Cricetulus griseus: one gene and its partners. The protein of the gene in region 1 interacts with the protein of each later gene in a pairwise test. Links are inferred from orthologs where the notes say so. Each region holds a gene or a part of one and is shown in the gene's direction. Other genes may lie near its edges. The genes, in order: Fbf1, Accs, Cinp and Tubgcp4.

Region 1 (4,306 bases):
ATCTAAATGACTTGTAATCTTTAGTTCCTGACAATAGCCTTCAGCACGTGTTACTACCTAGCCCTGTAGAAACGGGACAGGAGGTTGTTGTCCAGGACCACAGCTAGCAAATTATGGCTGGACACCAATGACCTGCCAACGCTTTAATAAAATCTTACGTCTAAATGTGTAATGGGGTGGGTGTGGTGGCCCAGGCCTTTAATCATGCCTCTTGAATGGCAGACACATGGGGATCTCTGTGAATTCAGGGCCAGCCTGGTTTATATAGTTCCAGAACAGACAGAGCTACATAGTGAGACCCTGTTTAGGGAAAAGGGGTCAGCCAAAGAAACACACCTTGAGCAGTGGCCAAGAAACACATTTGGCCCTGAAACCAGAACCAAAGAAATGCACCCTGGCCCTGAAACCAGTGCCAAAGAAACACACTTTGTCTCTGGAATCAGAGCCAGTGAAAGAAATACATCCTGGCCCTAAAATTAGAGCCAAAAGGCTAAAAAGGACCAGTGAAAGAAACAGACTTTGGCCCTGAAACCAGAGCCAAATCGGACCCTGAACCTGTGCAGAAAACCAACCAACCCCTGGGCAGAAGATCTAGCCAATCTGAGCTCAGGGATTGAAATCTGACCAATCCCCACCCTGGAAAAACTCCACCCTTAAGAAACCCCATATAAACCCTGTGCCTGCCGACTTGTTACACTCAGGAGGACCGAGCCTAACTGTAACAACTTCTCTGGGGAAGCCCTCCTCTTCCCTCCCCTGCCAGAGCAGAGCTGTAAAACTGGGGAAGCCTTTCCCCGGAGCAGGGCTGCAAGCTGCTACGCTGACCTGTGGTATTCCTTGGCTCCCGAGTGCCAGGATACCTTTCCATCCGAGCTGTGGCTCTCGACTGCCAGAATCCCTGTGCATCCCTTCCGAGCCGCTGTACACTATCTCTTTAAAAAGCTGTAATAAGTACAGCCAAGAAAATGCGTTAAGTGTAGTTCTGAGATACTATTATGTAGCTGGCTGCAAATTTCTGCCACAGCCGGTTTTGACCTAGGAAATGCAGTTTTGGATCAGTCTGGGCTTTACAGATGCTGGGATTCCGGGCGTGGCGCGTCCACTGTGTGCCTCTGTTGATGGTTTTGGGTTTTCTGATAGCGCAGCTTTGACCTCTTCATTGACCACGAAGGTTACAGTCACCACTCAGTCCTCAGAGCTCGAGGAACCAGCTTGCACACGCTCCGAGGATGCTTTCCCTGCCCCTCACTAGAGTGGCATTGAAACAGCTCCTAGCAACGGACTTCCAGCCGGGAGAAGCGCCCCGCCGCGGGGCACGCTGGGAAATGTAGTTCTTCCCGGCACCTCCTGGGGTTCGGCCCGCAAGGGAGCGGGCCGCGGACTACAGTACCTAGAATGCTTCACTTCGCCTTCTAGTTGAGGCCGGAGGCGGCGAGGTGGGAATGTCGCCGGCGCCCAGGTGGTAGGCCTGGCGGAAACGGGCGGACTGAGTGGAATCGGAATCCGGGTCTCCGGTTGGGTTGGGTTCCCGTGGCCGTGTTTGTGAAAGGACGGCTCGAAACAGGGCCCTCGGGGGCTGGGAGGAGCACGGGATGGGCGCGCGGGGGATGGAACCTTGAGGGGCTCCGTGCCCGGCCTGGCGCCACACTCCCGGAAGCGCTGCGGCTGAGGGGCGGGCTCGCGAGGTTTAAAATGGCTCGGAGGAGCTGGGTGAATGGGTGTGAAGACTCGACGTTCTTCTCGCACCCGTGGGCCCTCACAAGCCGCTCCTAGAAAACGCCGCACCCCCCGGGAAGCCGCCACGGGATGCTTAGGAGATCCGGAGGATCCTTGGCGTGACACAAGCCAAAGGCCTTTGGACTTGCAGGTCGCTGCAGTTGCCATTGCGCGGGAGAAACACAAGCACCCCCCCTGCGTCCTCAACCCCAGAAACACTGTGCACTGTGGTAAGAGGCTAGATACACCGGGAAGACAGATGAGGGCCGCGGCCGCCTTTCTTCCTAGGCATGCGAAGGTGGGTTCGGGGAGTGGGAGAGGCAGTGCTAGAAAGATCTGTTCCCAGGGCGAGCTGCCCGCCGTCTGTGAAAGGAGAATCCAGGGCTCACTCTCACACTTACAATGCTGGATGCTGCCTACAGATTCTCGGCAGAGATTCTTGGTAAAACGGGCCGGGATGTGGTTGCCCCTCCCACATGGTTCTTTGCCATTTCAGCATCCTCTCCCAGAGTAAAGGATGGGGACCGCTTTTTCCAAGTACTCTCTAAGCCAAGAAAAGCCCAATAAGTGAATTGGGAATTCCCATTATCTCGCTTTCTTCATATATTCTCTTTTTCTCATAGTCTCCTTCTCTTTTTCATGTAATCTCTGTGCCTCTCCCCACCCCCCCACAATCTGTTTCTTGAGGCAGGCGCTCACCCTAGCCTTAAAAAAAAATCACAATATAGTCAAAACTGGCCCCTAATTCATAGCAATCCTGCTTCGCCCCCCCCCCTCCGTGCTGGGATTACAAGTATGAACCACTATGCCTACTTAACTTTTTCTTCTTTTTTATGTGTAGGGGTGTTTGCATGTAAGAGTGCCACATGCATGAAATACTCTGGGAGGCCAGAAGAGGGCATCAGACCCATTTGTCCCTCCTGTGCCCATGGGAGTTACACAGGTTGTGAGCCACCATGTAGGTACTGAGAACCCAACCTGGCTCCTGAGGAAGAGCAACAAGTGCCCCAAATGGCCAAGGCTTCAGGTCCCTAGCTTTTTCTTTCTTGACGAAGGCCTTGTTAAATAGCTCTTTCTGTTGCAGCCCTCCAAGTTCTGGAATTGAAGCTAAGCTCTGAAATTCTTTTTTATTATTATTATTTTTTAGTTGCACTTATTTATTTGGGGGTGGGACACACATGTGCATGGAGGTAAAGGAAACCCTGCAGAAGTCAGTTTTCTCCCTCCGTCTCGTGTGTTCTGAGGTCCCACTCATGTAGTCAGGCATGTTGGCAAACACACCTTCATTCACCGAGCAGCTTCCAGTTCACAAGTTCTGAACTTACAGAAATGGGTGTGAGCCTATTCCTGGCTCTGCTGGAACTTGCTCTGTAGACCATGCTGGTCTTGAATTCACAGGAGATCCTCTTGCCTCTTCCAAGAGTGCTGGGATTAAAGGTGTGAACCACCACCACATGACTAGGTTTTGACCTCCTAAGGTGAGAGGATTCTTAACACGCTTGGAGTCAAGCACTGTTAACTGCTGTATTTTATTTATTTATTGTTTCAGGTTTTTTGTTTTGTGTTTTTTTGGTAAGATTTATTTATTATGTATAGTGTTCTGTCTGCATTATCCCTGCAGGCCAGGAGAGGGCACCAGATCTCATTGTGAGCCACCGTGTGGTTGCTTGGAACTGAATTCAGGTCCTCTGGAAGAGCAGCCACTGCTCATAACCACCGAGCCTTCTCTCAAGTCCTTGTTTTGGGTTTTTTGTTTGTTTGTTTTTTTGAGACTTACTTAGCCCAGGCTGGCCTTAAATTTGTTATGTAGCTGAGGATGACTTTGAGCTCCTGATTTTTCTACCTCCCTTTCCCAAATTATGATATTTCAGGATGAGGTCACCATGTTGAGCTAAACTACATATTTTTAAAAATTTACTTAAATTAAAAAAGATTTTTAATTTTTAACTATATGAACTCGTATGTAAGTGTATATGGGTACAGGTGTCCATGAAGGCCAGAGGCTTGGAACCCCCTGGAGCTGGAGTTACAGGAGGTTGTGAGCTACCCACAGGTGCTGAGAACTCAACTCAGGTCCTCTGCAAGAACAGGTTGTGCTCTTTGCTTCTGAGCCATCTCTTAAGCAGCTACTTTAATTTTCTCTACTAGGGAGGATGAACTTGTTCAGCGAGAGTGCACATGACTGAACAGTGCTGTGAAGGAGATACAGAAAGCCCCCAAAGCCCAAGATGGTAGGCAGATTGCATCAGTGTAAGATGTGTGGAAATATCAGCAACCCCCAGCCCATCCCTGCACCCTGAACATTTGACTGCATAGAGTATTCTAGAAGTTTTGTGGCAAGGACCAGGAGATAGTCTCTATGGCAGAGTAGCATAAGAAAAAAACAAAACAAACAAACAAACGTAAGCATGGAGCTGGACCTTTTATCCTGGCACCTGGAGGCAGAGACAGGTGGATCTCTGTGAATTTCAGGCCAGCCTGTTTAATATAGCAAACTCCAGGCCAGTCAGGACTGCACAGAGAGAGACCCTTCCTAGCACCTCCCCCCAAAAAATTAAACAGTGAACAAAGTTTCCCTTGAGCCTCTGTT
Region 2 (4,004 bases), on another chromosome or scaffold:
CAAAGCAAATTTGAACTGCGGGCCGGGCCGTCGTGCCCCCTCTCCCCCCGCGCGCCAGTCTACCATCAGCCGTCCTTTCTACCAAGTAAGACTTGTACCTTAAGCCAGGGAAGTCAGAGAGCGTTTGTGATAGAGTGACTCATATTTCAGACATTTGGCCACCAGCCAGGATTTGGTATGAGTGCTTTATCACCTTCGGATCCTCACTGTTGCCTTTGAGGTGGGTTTTGGTTCCATCAGAGCACAAGTGAGGCACGAATGAGGGCTGCTTAGGAAGCTCTTATGTTGTTGGCAGCTAGGAGACCCTTGCCTCCTTTGTGAGTGGAGTTGGGAGTGCATTTGTGACTCCTACTATCCCCTCCCACTAGTTCCCATCTCCATCAGCTCCAGATCACCTGTTACACAAGAGCACCACAGCAATGATCTGCTTGGGGAAAAGCCTGGTGTTTTGAAATTGAGGTGAGCAAGGGTGGGGGAGAGATCATTGAGTGACCCCCCGAAGCTGCAGAATGAAAGCCAGATGTAGAAATGGAGCAAGCTAAAGCTACAGTAGATTGAAGTTATTTAAATGTAGCATGCAGAGTGTGGTACCCATAGATCCTCAGTAGATTTGTTTGTTGAAGTGTTTCACTCAATAGGGACAAAGGGGATGAACACACAAACTTGCAAAAAGAGGGAGATATCTGTGTGGTAGTCCCAGCTACTCAGGAGGGATACCTTGAGCCCAAGAGTTCAATGCAACTTCAGGGGACAGAGGAGGAGGGGACACTTGCCCTGTTTGTAAAGTGTCCAGTCATTAAAATGTAGTCATAAAGACTACATTTTATCCCCAGAACCCACATAAAAATAGTCAGTTGTGCATCCTCATAATTCCAGAGCTGGGGAGGTGGAGACAGGCAGGTTTCTGGGCCTTACTGGCTACCCAGTCTAACCCAATCTGCAAACACCAGAGTTTAGGGAGAGACCCTGTCTCAAAAAATATGGTGGATAGTTCCTAGAACAACACCAAAGGTTGTTCTTGGGCCTACACATAGACAGACAGACAGACAGACAGACAGACAGACAGACAGACACACACACACACACACACACACACACACACACACACACACACACAAGAGCAGAAGCCCTTCAGCGGGCCTGTGCATTTGTGTTTTGGCAGATGTTCCCTCTTCCTCAGAGGGAATCCACAGCACCGACTGCACCTTCAGGCTCAACCTCTTCTCGGGACATGGACAGTGGCTATGGTGATGATCTGCAAGGAGAATGCCTCAGAAAGCCAGACTGGAAGCAGTCCAAACTCTATGGAGTGGGTGACCCCATGGCCATGTTCTCCTCTGATAGCTCCTGCCTGTCCTCTAGAGGAAGAGTCATCAAATGGTTCTGGGACTCAGCTGAGGAGGGCTACAGAACCTACCACATGGATGAGTTTGATGAGGACAAGAACCCCAGTGTGAGTGAAGACCCCTCCCCACTGGGACCCAAGAGCAAACTAACTGCAGAGCAGCCAGCACCCAGCTTGCTCTTGTCAGGTTGGAGTTATGAACCTTTGGCTCCAAGAGGGCTGGTAATGTCTGCTCTGTAGGTTGTTCATTTCTGAGATGGGCTGGTAATGTCTTCTGTGTAGACAGATCATCTCTGAGATGGGCTTTTATGTCTTCTCTGTAGACAGGTCATCTCTGAGATGGGCTGGTAATGTCTGCTCTGTAGAAATGAGACGAGAAGTGTGAAATTAGTGTTTGTCATATAGGAAACTTGATAAATACAGCTGCTGTTATTATTCATATCATCTGCCACAATAACCATAATCTATTACACATAATAATTTAGCAAAGAACTACACAATAACACTTATTAATAGTTTTGATCTGCTGAGCATCCACCAGGTATCAGCGACTGTTCTAGAGGTACTGGTGTCATACTTTAAATCTTGCCCTATGTATTTATATTTTAGTTGAGATGGACAGGTCAAAAATACATATAACATTTACTGTTAGGCACTGCAGAGAAAATGAAGATAGGGTGAGGTGGACAGAGGATGATGGTCTGCTAGGAAATGTTGCTGTTTGATATAGGATGTCATAGAATGCTATTTTAATCAGGAGACACTAGAACAGAGGCTTGAAAAAAAAAAGTGAGAGGGATTGTGTTAATTACCCATTGCTGTAACAAATCACCCCAAATCTCAGCAGTTTACCTAGCAAATATTTCCCGGTTGCTGGAGCTCAGGACTCCTGGTGGGTGTCTTCAGACCAGGGCTTTCTGTCACAGTACCCTGAAGCTGGTACTGTGATCTCATCTGAAAGCTTGCGGGGTGATGGGACTTGGACAGGTGAGAGGCTCCATCTCCTGGTGGGCACCTGTTCCTCTCCACATGGACTTTTTCCCAGAACTGCCTCAGATATGGCAGCTGCCTCCCTCTAGAGCAGATGACTCCAGGAAGAATGAGAGATCATGAGAACCTAATATGGAAGCCACACACTTTTATGACCCAACCTTAGAAGTGACATCCCATCAGTTTTGCATGTTCTTTTTATCAGGAGCAGTTGGCAGATTCAGTCTCTACCCAGGGTGCCATGGTAGAGGCTACCAGGAGCCATGCAGCTCAGAGGATAGCTGGTACAAAGGCTCCAGGCTGCAACTATGCTGGATCAGATCAAGGGTCAGCAAAGGAACCAGTGGGCTGTGGTAAAGCCAGACTGGTGGGTGATGGGGTCAGAAAGGCTATGGGTATTGTAGGGCCTCATGGGACATGGTGACAGTTCTTTCTGTAGACAGGGGTGGGTAGGAAGTGTTCAGGAGAGGAGCAGTGTGCATGAAGCAATTTCAGTTTTTTTTTTTAAAGACATCTTGGACTTCCATATGAAGACCCAATGACAGGTGAGGGAGTGGACAAGAGAGGAGATGGGAGCTATGGCAGTGATCTGGTCAGGAGCTATGGTGACTTACACTAGGGTCTCAGCAGTGGGGCATGATAAGTGGCTGGCTGAATGGGTTGGCTGTGTCTGGAGGAAACAGAACATTGCCTTTTATTTGTCTTACTCTCCGCTCATTCAAGTTTAGTTGTTTTGTCTTTCCTGCTTCCTTCACTCCCCACATAAGGTAGGGCTCAGGAGTTGTGTCTCCTATTAGGATTAACACCTTATGGGGTGGCAATTGGACATTGTGTCCTGTTAGCTGGGCCTCCTAGGGAATAATTTACACTGACAAGGGGGGTGTCCACTGACCACCCCACCCTTGTATTTGGTCCTAGCAGAGTATAATTTATAGTATGCAGGTTTTTTTTTTCATTCTATAAATGTTTCTGGAGAGACACAGTGGTGTCTGGGGCATGAATTTGCCTTCAGGGATCTAGCTATCATCAGAGAGAGCTCTACCCTGATCCTTGTGCCATGGAGCAGAAATTGAGTGGTTTTCTAAGGGCAGGGGAGTGGTGGAAAGAGACGAGTGGGACTCCAAGACTCAAAGAGTCCTTCCCAGTGGGGCTTGGGGGAAGGTTTCTTGCTGGAGGTGGTATTTAGACAGTGTTGGAAATGGCAGATGGGATTTTGGAGCCCAATGAGAAAAGACAAAGAGGGTGGTGGGAGGGTAGACTGGTGCCCACTTTGTTGTCTGTGGGTTCCCCAGGCTGTTTGTTGGCATTCCTTTGTCATGTTCACCCTGCCTCTACACTTTGTCTTCAGGGCATCATTAACTTGGGCACCAGTGAGAACAAACTCTGCTTTGACCTTCTGTCTAGGCGGGTGAGTAGTGGGACTGCAATCACCAGGGGCTTCTTGAATCCTTTGCCACAGTAGCTTGCAGCATGCCTCAGGAGCCCTGATGTAAGAGCTGGGAGACATGGATTCCAGGTCTGCCTTGGGAACAACTCTGCTTCCCCTCCCCTCCCCTTTCTCTCCCTATTCCCTTTCTCTCCCCTCTCCTTTCTCTCCCCTTCCCTTTCTCTCCCTATTCCCTTTCTCTCCCCTTCCCTTTCTGTCCCCTCCCTTTTCTCTCCCTCCCCT
Region 3 (3,561 bases), on another chromosome or scaffold:
CCCAGTGATTAGAAAGCATGTCTTCAAAAATGTCGATGGTGGCCAGGCATGGTGGCTCATGCCTTTCATCCTAGCACTTGGGAGGCAGAAGCAGGCGGCTCTCTCTATGAGTTTGTTTGCTGGGAATTGAACTCAGGTCCTCTGGAAGAACAGTCAGTGCTTTTAACCGCTGAGCCATCTCTCCTGCCCTCTCTATGAGTTTGAAGTCAGCCTGCTCTATAGAGTGAGTTCCAGCACAGATAGGGTTGTTACACAGAGAAACCCTGTCTCAAAACAAAGAAACAAACAAGGTGGATGACTCCTTAGGAACACCAGAGGCTAACACCTGGTTTCGTATGCACCGTGGCAAGGTAGCATACATCACAGTGGATGCTCATGGCCAGGACCAGAAAGAAGATACTGGGATCCCAAAATCCTATGAAGGGTATGCCCTCACACAGATAGAAGCCTCCCTTAATGGTTGCACCTCCAACTAACAGCACCAGAGACTGAAAAACCAAGCCTTCAGTGTCCACAACGTATGGATCGCAGACTTCAGTTTAAGAACCATTCGCCAACCCTTGACTCCTTCAGGAAACTACCCGCATCTTATGCATCTTTGTGCAAGCAGCATTAAGCCCTACACCAAGGATGCCTCGTGGCTAGACCTGCCTTCCCCCAGTACCGAGTTGAGTGGCCAGGGCTGGGGTCTAGCTTAGCAGTAGAGCATTTGCAGCACACTGGAGGCCCTCAGTTCTGTCCCAACCAATGGATGTGCCCGCGGTGTGTGTGAATAAGCATCTACTATAATGACATTTGCAATATGCATGTCAAATGTCTACCGTGATTATGTGGGTGGTGGCTTTTATAGGATTCATTATAACAGAATGAGGTAAAGGGATCCCCACGCCTTTTTGTTTTGTTTTCTTTTTTTGAGGCAGGGGCTCATTGACTAGCCAGGCTGACTGTGAACTCCTCCTCTTCAAGCCCTGTCAACAAGCATGAGGTGAGTTTAAAGTGTGTCATTTGCACCCATTGTTTTCTGCTTTGTCCAGGAGTAAAGAGAAGGTTGAATTAGAGAGCAGCAGCCCCGCTTCCAGTGAGAAGGAAGAAAAGACGAGTCAGGACTACAGTGAGGAGCTTGAAGCACTGTGTGAGCAGCTGCAGGCCACCTTGGATGGCTTGGTAAGACCTAACTAACAGTGCCGGTCATCTACATCACTGTCACTCAAACCCAGTGGCACCATTTGGGGTTTGCTTGACAATGGGGGCATTCAAAACTGCCAAAGACCCTTTCTCTCCTTAGCCTTTTTCCACCTACCTAACAAATCCTGATGCTCCTAAGATGCTGTCTGGTACATTGTCCTGGGCAGTTTCAACCACCTCAAGGGCCCATCAAGTAAATATTTAGGCTTTGAGGGCCAGACCATCTGTGTCATAGTGACTTTTCCATACTGCCACACAACACCAGACATACCATTCTTCAGGTTGTGATCCAAATTAACTGTATTTCTTGTTCAGATTGTTTGCACTCTGACATTGGGAGTTCTGCCTAAAGTACTCTTCATAGTAATGTTCTGCTTTGGGAATTTTTGACATTTCTTTACTGACTAGCATTGAAAGCTGTTCTGGGCTGGCTTTGCACATTTCCTGCCTCTGTCCCAGAGTCAGCCTTTTTTTCCCCAAGGGGCCCAGGAAAGTCCTGTTAGAAACCTGTTAGCTCTGAGGCTACAGAGAGGTTTCAAGTGTTGAGAGTACTTGCTGCTCACAACTGTCTCTAACTCCAGCTCCAGGGAATCCAGTACCCAGTTGTGGCCTCCATAGGCACCTGCCCACACAAATGATGAAATAAATCTTACTAGAGAAAGAAAGCTGTGTGTGCTAGCCATTGGTTAGAAGCTCTCTGCTCTGGTGACCCTGAACCTTTTGGTTTTCCGAGACAGGGTTTCTCTGTGTAGCTCTGGCTGTCCTGGCACTCGCTCTGTAGACCAGGCTGCCTTAAACTCACAGAGATCGCCTGCCTCCCAAGTGCTGGGATTAAAGGCTGGCGCCATCACCTGTTTGCTTGAATCTGTCTTAAAACTGTTTTAGAAATGTATTCTCATTCAGTGTTCAAACCCAGAAATTGGGTTTGGAGGTGAATGTTGCTTTTCATGTTTCCCCAGCCATTACAGAGGTTTGGCTTTACATGTCTCTTCCTGGGGGGGGGGGGGCAATGCAGCCTTTCCCCTAAGCTGTGGTCTATGTTACTGTGGGGAGACACTACAGATGCTGGTGGGTGAGTATAGGCTGTGCTTACATTGTCAGCTCAACAAAGCACAGACAGATGTGACTTTGTCTCTGTTGGTGGCCGACTGCAGGTATGACAGGCTAGGGCCTCCAGATTTTCCTCCTTGAATCCTTCTAAGCTTTTCTAGAATTAGGAGGGGTCGGGAAGGTGCCAGGGTGTGCAGACTTTTGTTCACAGCCATGGGTTCAGAAAGCACAGACCCTGTCCTGGCCCTGCTTCCCCACCTCAACCTTGAGAACCTTCCCATCAGCAATTGGAAATGATGGCGGTTAAGCCAAATGAAATATTGAACCTAAAATTATTTGAGAAGGAAGCGAGACCTTTTAAGATTAACAGTTGCTAAATTTAGTGTGTGCCACTTAAACCAGGGATGGATAGTTAGGAGGACCAAGTACAAGGACTTACGGTTTTGATACTGTATATTTCTTTTATCCCACCCCCCCCCAAGACACACCATAGTTAACTATACTCAGGAGTTAGACATTTTTAATAAACCTTTGCTACCTAAATCTACCACCCCAGTTAATTCTGTTTATCGTAATGGTCACTCATAACTAAGCAGGTGCTTCACTGCTGGTCATCCTTTGTCACCGTGTAGGCGGTGCTGGTGTTTGCTCCTGGGAGCTGATAGAGGACACCATTGCAGAGGGAGGGAGATCTGTGGGTTTCGAGTTCTCATTGTGCTCTTCTGTGTGGACAGGAGGCCCACAGAGGCTGCAGTGAACTCTAAGGCAGTCCATAAAAGACCGTCAGAAAGAAAGACATTCACTGAGTGCCTTTCTGCCTGTCTCACTCGGAACAGTGGCCCACTCTAGGATTCCTCCAGGTCTTTGGAGCTAAAACACTAGTGCTGCTTAGAAATCCTACTGAGATGGGACTCGGCAAGCTTTCTTCTCTCTGAGGCTTTGAAAATCCAGAGCTTAGTGCCAAAGTAATGCAAAGAAATGAAACCACAGCAACCACATGCCCCCCTACACACACATAGAAATCTGCTGTCTGGAGGTGATGGGGCGAGTTACTGGAATTTTAACCCCACCAGGACTATATATCGTAGTATTCAAATCTTTCATAGTTATTATATCTGAAATTAGAAATTCTAAGCAGTATTCTCATATTCCAAATTAATACCTTTTTCAGACTAAAATACAAATGAAAATGGAAAAGCTGTCTTCAACCACCAAAGGAATTTGTGAACTAGAAAATTATCATTACAGGGAAGAAAGTAACCGGCCCCTTCTGTTCCACACATGGCCCACGGCTTTCTTTTGTAAGTAGCTCTTCTAGAGGTGGTT
Region 4 (4,053 bases), on another chromosome or scaffold:
ATCCTTCACAGCTAAAAGCAGTCTCTCCTTTTAGTGTCTGGGTTCCAGACTTAGTTCGCTATCTCCCCATGTCCTTACAGAAACATCTGCAGATGAGTCTCTCTGTAAAAAGGAGTTTCTTCCTAAAGAGAAATGGAAATATCTTCACATGTTTAAAAGTCTTGCCAGAGGCGGCTTGACTTCCCATATGCTCCAAGTGGTCTTCTGAGGTAGTGCCGCTTCAGGACAGCAAATCAATGAGCAAGGAGAAAATGACCTTTCAAAAAGCTCCATTTCTGGGTGGTGACTGGAGCATTCCCAGAAGTCGCAGGTAATAGAAAATCCCATCTGCTTCACGCTCACCTCACCTAAATAAATCTGATCGCATTTAGCGCCCCAGATCAAAGTTGTAGAGTGAATTCGAACCGCATGGGACATCTGATGGACTCTAAAGGTAAGTCAACATTTGGCTGAAGACCACAAAAGCCTGACTAGCGGGTGGCCGCTAATCTTCCCCAGAGCCCCTGCTGTCAGCCCCGCCCCCTTGAACGCCAAAGTAAGATTTTCCAGGCAGAACCCAAGTCAAGTGCTGAATGTTGGGTCTCCTGTTTACCCCTCCCAGACAAAGTAAGAACTCAGCAAGAGTTCGGGAGACACAGATGGGAAATTCACGCACCGGGGAAGCTGACTTGGGCTTCTAAACTCAACTGGGCTTGGGGAAGAGTCACAGGAGTTGGTGAAGCGAGGGAGCCTGAGAGGAGGCAAGTAGTGGGTCTCCCGAGACCGAAGCCAGTGCTGGCCAGTGCTGCGAGCTCAAAATGGGCTCCGAGCGCTGCTCCACAGCGGCGCCTGCCAAGTTCCGGCCTCTTTGTCCCCTCCGGCCGGGTCACTCTGGGAGACGTCGTGCAGTCGGTCAAAACGCCACACACTCTGCCAAGGCGTCCTGAGGACTCCCTCCGGCCCACCGGTGGCCGCGTCTCCACCTGCCTGTCAAGTCACTCTTATCCCTGTCCCCGGGCCGGCCTCAGCCATTCCGGCCCGGCTAAGACCAGTCTTGCCCAGCAGGAGCCCCAGTCCGGCTCTGGAGCCGGAAGTCCGAGCGGGCCACTCCGGGCACCCGAGACGCATGCGCGATGGCACCTCTGGCGCCTCCTCTGCGCTCCGCGGCGGGAGCGAGCGGGTGGGCGCCTCTGAGCCGCGCGCACTTCCGGGACGCGGCGCGCGGCGCCGTGACGGCCCCGCGCGCGCTGGTCTGCGGGGTTTCTGGGCGAGCGACTCGTTTGGGTGTGAGTGGACGCCCGCAGAGGCGCTCAAAGAGAAGGCGGTAGGTCTGGGAGCTCCGAGGCCGCCCCAGAAATGATTCACGAATTGCTCTTGGCTCTGAGTGGGTACCCAGGATCCATTTTCACTTGGAACAAGCGGAGTGGCCTGCAGGTACGGAGCGGGTCTGAGGCTGGGACGCTGCAGCGCAGCGGAGGGGCGGGACGCGGGGGGGACGCCGAATGACTGAGCCCGCGAGCCGTGAGAAGCCGAGGGCAACCCGACATAGCTCCGGCTTTGAGGGGGGACCCGGGCTAGGGAGCCACTGAGAGTGGGTAGAACTGTACTTCTTTTTACTGCATATAAAGTTACTGTTAAACTGTGAATCCCTAAATGTGTATCTGGAATTAGATGATAGTTTATTATTTAAAAAGGGAGTAGGGTACCCCTGTGTATTCACGCTTGCATTATTTTCAAACTGACTTGTGGAAATATGTACACAGAGCTCAAAACACTATAAACACTCAGTAAATTGTGTTAGATAAAAAAAATGAATTTGGCGTTTCCCTCCTTTCCTCGGAAATTTCTGTACCAGGTTAAGAACTTGAAAGAGCTTTTTCTGTAATCAGAAAAGTATGAGAGGAATGTGTTGATTAGTTCGTTCTTCTCTCCATCCTTCCCTCCATTTCTAACTTGACAGAAGCTAGAGTTTCCTGAGAAGAGGGAAACTTAGCTGAGAAAATGCCCGTCATATTGGCTGTGGGCAAGCCTGTACTGCAAGTTCTTAATTCGCGACTGCTGTGGAAGGGCCCAGTGCAGGCCGAGTCCCTCAGCAGGTGGTCTCCATATGTATAAGAAAGCCGGCTCTGCCTGTCAGGTGGAGCGAGCTAGTAAACAGCTTTCCTCCACTGTTTCTCTTCTATGACAGGAGAATGGCCTTCCCCCCGGAACTGTATGTAACTGTGGCTACTTTATGCGTTTGATAAAACAGTAAAACAGCGTTAATCGTGCCAATCTAAGGAAATCAGAATACCATTTTCTAATCAGACTGTTGAATAATTAGGCATGAGGATTGGGGATTCGGCCTTCATGAAGAACTGTAAACTGAAATAAACACTTTGCTCTTTTGTCACAGCAACAGAAACCTAACTAGGACCAGGATAGTGTGACTGTAGTGCAGTGTTCATTATATGTCATCGAATCCTCACAGCAATCTAGTTCAGAAAGTTAACTCCCAGCGTCACTTAACTATTCATTAGTATAGCTTACTTTTTTTGTGTTTTTTTCGAGACAGGGTTCCTCTGTAGCTTTGGAGCTTGTCTTGGAACTTGCTGTGTAGACTAGGCTGGCCTCGAACTCACAGAAATCCACCAGCCTCTGCCTCCCAAACTTTGGGATTAAAGGTGTTAGCCACCACCTCCTGGTTTGTATAGCTTAGAACTGAACACAGGTCTGTCTTATTCCACTGTCAGAACTGTTAGCGTATTCAGCTTCCAGTAATGATGCCTGGTGCTCTCAGTTACCTACTGTTATGATAAAGCCTGAGGGGTCCTTTCGTGGGGGACCATGGCGGGTTCCATGGCAGGCGAGGGTGACGGAGGCGGAGGGACAAACAAGCCAGGCAGACAGAGAACTTAAGTGAGAGGTTTTATTAGAAAGGGAAGGGAGAAGGAAGGAAAGAGAAAAGAGGTAAAAAGACACAGAGACAGAGAGAGGATAGAAGAGAAATGGGAGGCAGGAAAATTCCTGTCTGCCCAGAGGAACAGTAGGAAGAGAGAGTGGGAAGAGAGCTGGAAAAGAGCAGAAAGAGAAAGGGGGGAGGGGGCAAAGAGAGCTTAAGTGGGCAGGAGTCTGACTTTTAAGGGGGTGCTTTGCACCTGCAATCAGACTAGTACTTATGGAACCCTGGGCTGACCAGAGTACTGCCCGAGTGCATTCTGCCAGGTGACAGGGTCAGGCCAGCATAATGCCTGAATCCTTACACCTAGTAACTTCAGTATTGCTCGTCCCAGCTTATGAGTGCATAAAACTGAAGCTTGGAGAACTTTGTGCAGACTTGTGGCAGTCCTAGGAATTAAGATCTGATCACAGTGTGGTGTCTGTTCATAGGAGCACTGTCAGTATAGGCCTTGGAGGATCAGAAAGGTCCTTTCTTCATCCATAAAACAAATTGAACAGATTTCTGTTATCCCTTATGGGTGTGAATTTGGGATTTAGAAGTGTGTGCTTTTACAATTTTTGTGTGTATGTCTTTGAAGACTGACACACTGCCAATCATGGAGGGGGGAAAATGCACAGCATTTGTGGGTGCTTGACTGACATTTGAAATAAAAGCAAATGATACCCAGGGCATGGCAGAGACGGCTGGGAAGGCTGCAGCAAGAGCCACAAATATTTCATCTTCTCTTGACTTTGTTATAAAGGTTTGAAGCAGACATTTTCATCCTTTCATTCCTAAGGCCTCGGAAGAGTTTTGTGGTCACCCTTTCAGTATTCTTCTCTTGTGCCTTTCTTCTTTATAACTGCTATTTGTTTCCTTTCTCAGACTTTGAAGAATTAGTTCATCACTTGTTATTGCTGTCACCTGTCTACACTGCTTCTTCTGTAGAGATTTCCATTTACCCAGAGCACTTAGCGGTGTCTGCCCCATAGTAGATGTTCATCTATTTGTGGAAAAAGACAAAAACAGCAAATACTATATGCTTTCCATAGAACAGTATTTTCACATTTGATTAAAAAGAACCATCGTGACTACTCAAAGTTTATGAGAGTCATTTAACTGTTACATTGAATATATGCCTGCATGGAGCTAGA

What was found.
Region 2: the proteins of Fbf1 (region 1) and Accs interact in a two-hybrid assay, tested with the Homo sapiens proteins (2 studies listed by BioGRID and IntAct). The two-hybrid records come from large-scale screens. The link is inferred for Cricetulus griseus from reciprocal best matches to the Homo sapiens genes FBF1 and ACCS.
Region 3: the proteins of Fbf1 (region 1) and Cinp interact in binary tests that used the Homo sapiens proteins (3 or more experiments, as listed by UniProt). The two-hybrid records come from large-scale screens. The link is inferred for Cricetulus griseus from reciprocal best matches to the Homo sapiens genes FBF1 and CINP.
Region 4: the proteins of Fbf1 (region 1) and Tubgcp4 interact in a two-hybrid assay, tested with the Homo sapiens proteins (2 studies listed by BioGRID and IntAct). The two-hybrid records come from large-scale screens. The link is inferred for Cricetulus griseus from reciprocal best matches to the Homo sapiens genes FBF1 and TUBGCP4.

What each region holds. Positions count from the first base shown.
Region 1 is NC_048600.1:128,748,505-128,752,810, reverse strand, and holds the start of Fbf1 (fas-binding factor 1), read left to right. Parts: upstream 1-1,468; 5' UTR 1,469-1,714; coding exon 1,715-2,014; intron 2,015-2,557; exon of another isoform or gene 2,558-2,644; coding exon of another isoform or gene 2,645-2,743; intron 2,744-3,864; exon of another isoform or gene 3,865-3,944; coding exon of another isoform or gene 3,945-3,947; intron 3,948-4,306. UniProt on the Homo sapiens protein: Keratin-binding protein required for epithelial cell polarization. Involved in apical junction complex (AJC) assembly via its interaction with PARD3. Required for ciliogenesis.
Region 2 is NC_048599.1:82,875,702-82,879,705, forward strand, and holds the start of Accs (1-aminocyclopropane-1-carboxylate synthase-like protein 1), read left to right. Parts: upstream 1-1,162; coding exon 1,163-1,453; intron 1,454-3,683; coding exon 3,684-3,743; intron 3,744-4,004. UniProt on the Homo sapiens protein: Does not catalyze the synthesis of 1-aminocyclopropane-1-carboxylate but is capable of catalyzing the deamination of L-vinylglycine.
Region 3 is NC_048598.1:183,142,091-183,145,651, forward strand, and holds part of Cinp (cyclin-dependent kinase 2-interacting protein), read left to right. Parts: intron 1-1,034; coding exon 1,035-1,164; intron 1,165-3,406; coding exon 3,407-3,536; intron 3,537-3,561. UniProt on the Homo sapiens protein: Component of the DNA replication complex, which interacts with two kinases, CDK2 and CDC7, thereby providing a functional and physical link between CDK2 and CDC7 during firing of the origins of replication.
Region 4 is NC_048599.1:57,258,885-57,262,937, reverse strand, and holds the start of Tubgcp4 (gamma-tubulin complex component 4), read left to right. Parts: upstream 1-1,198; 5' UTR 1,199-1,335; coding exon 1,336-1,413; intron 1,414-4,053. UniProt on the Homo sapiens protein: Component of the gamma-tubulin ring complex (gTuRC) which mediates microtubule nucleation.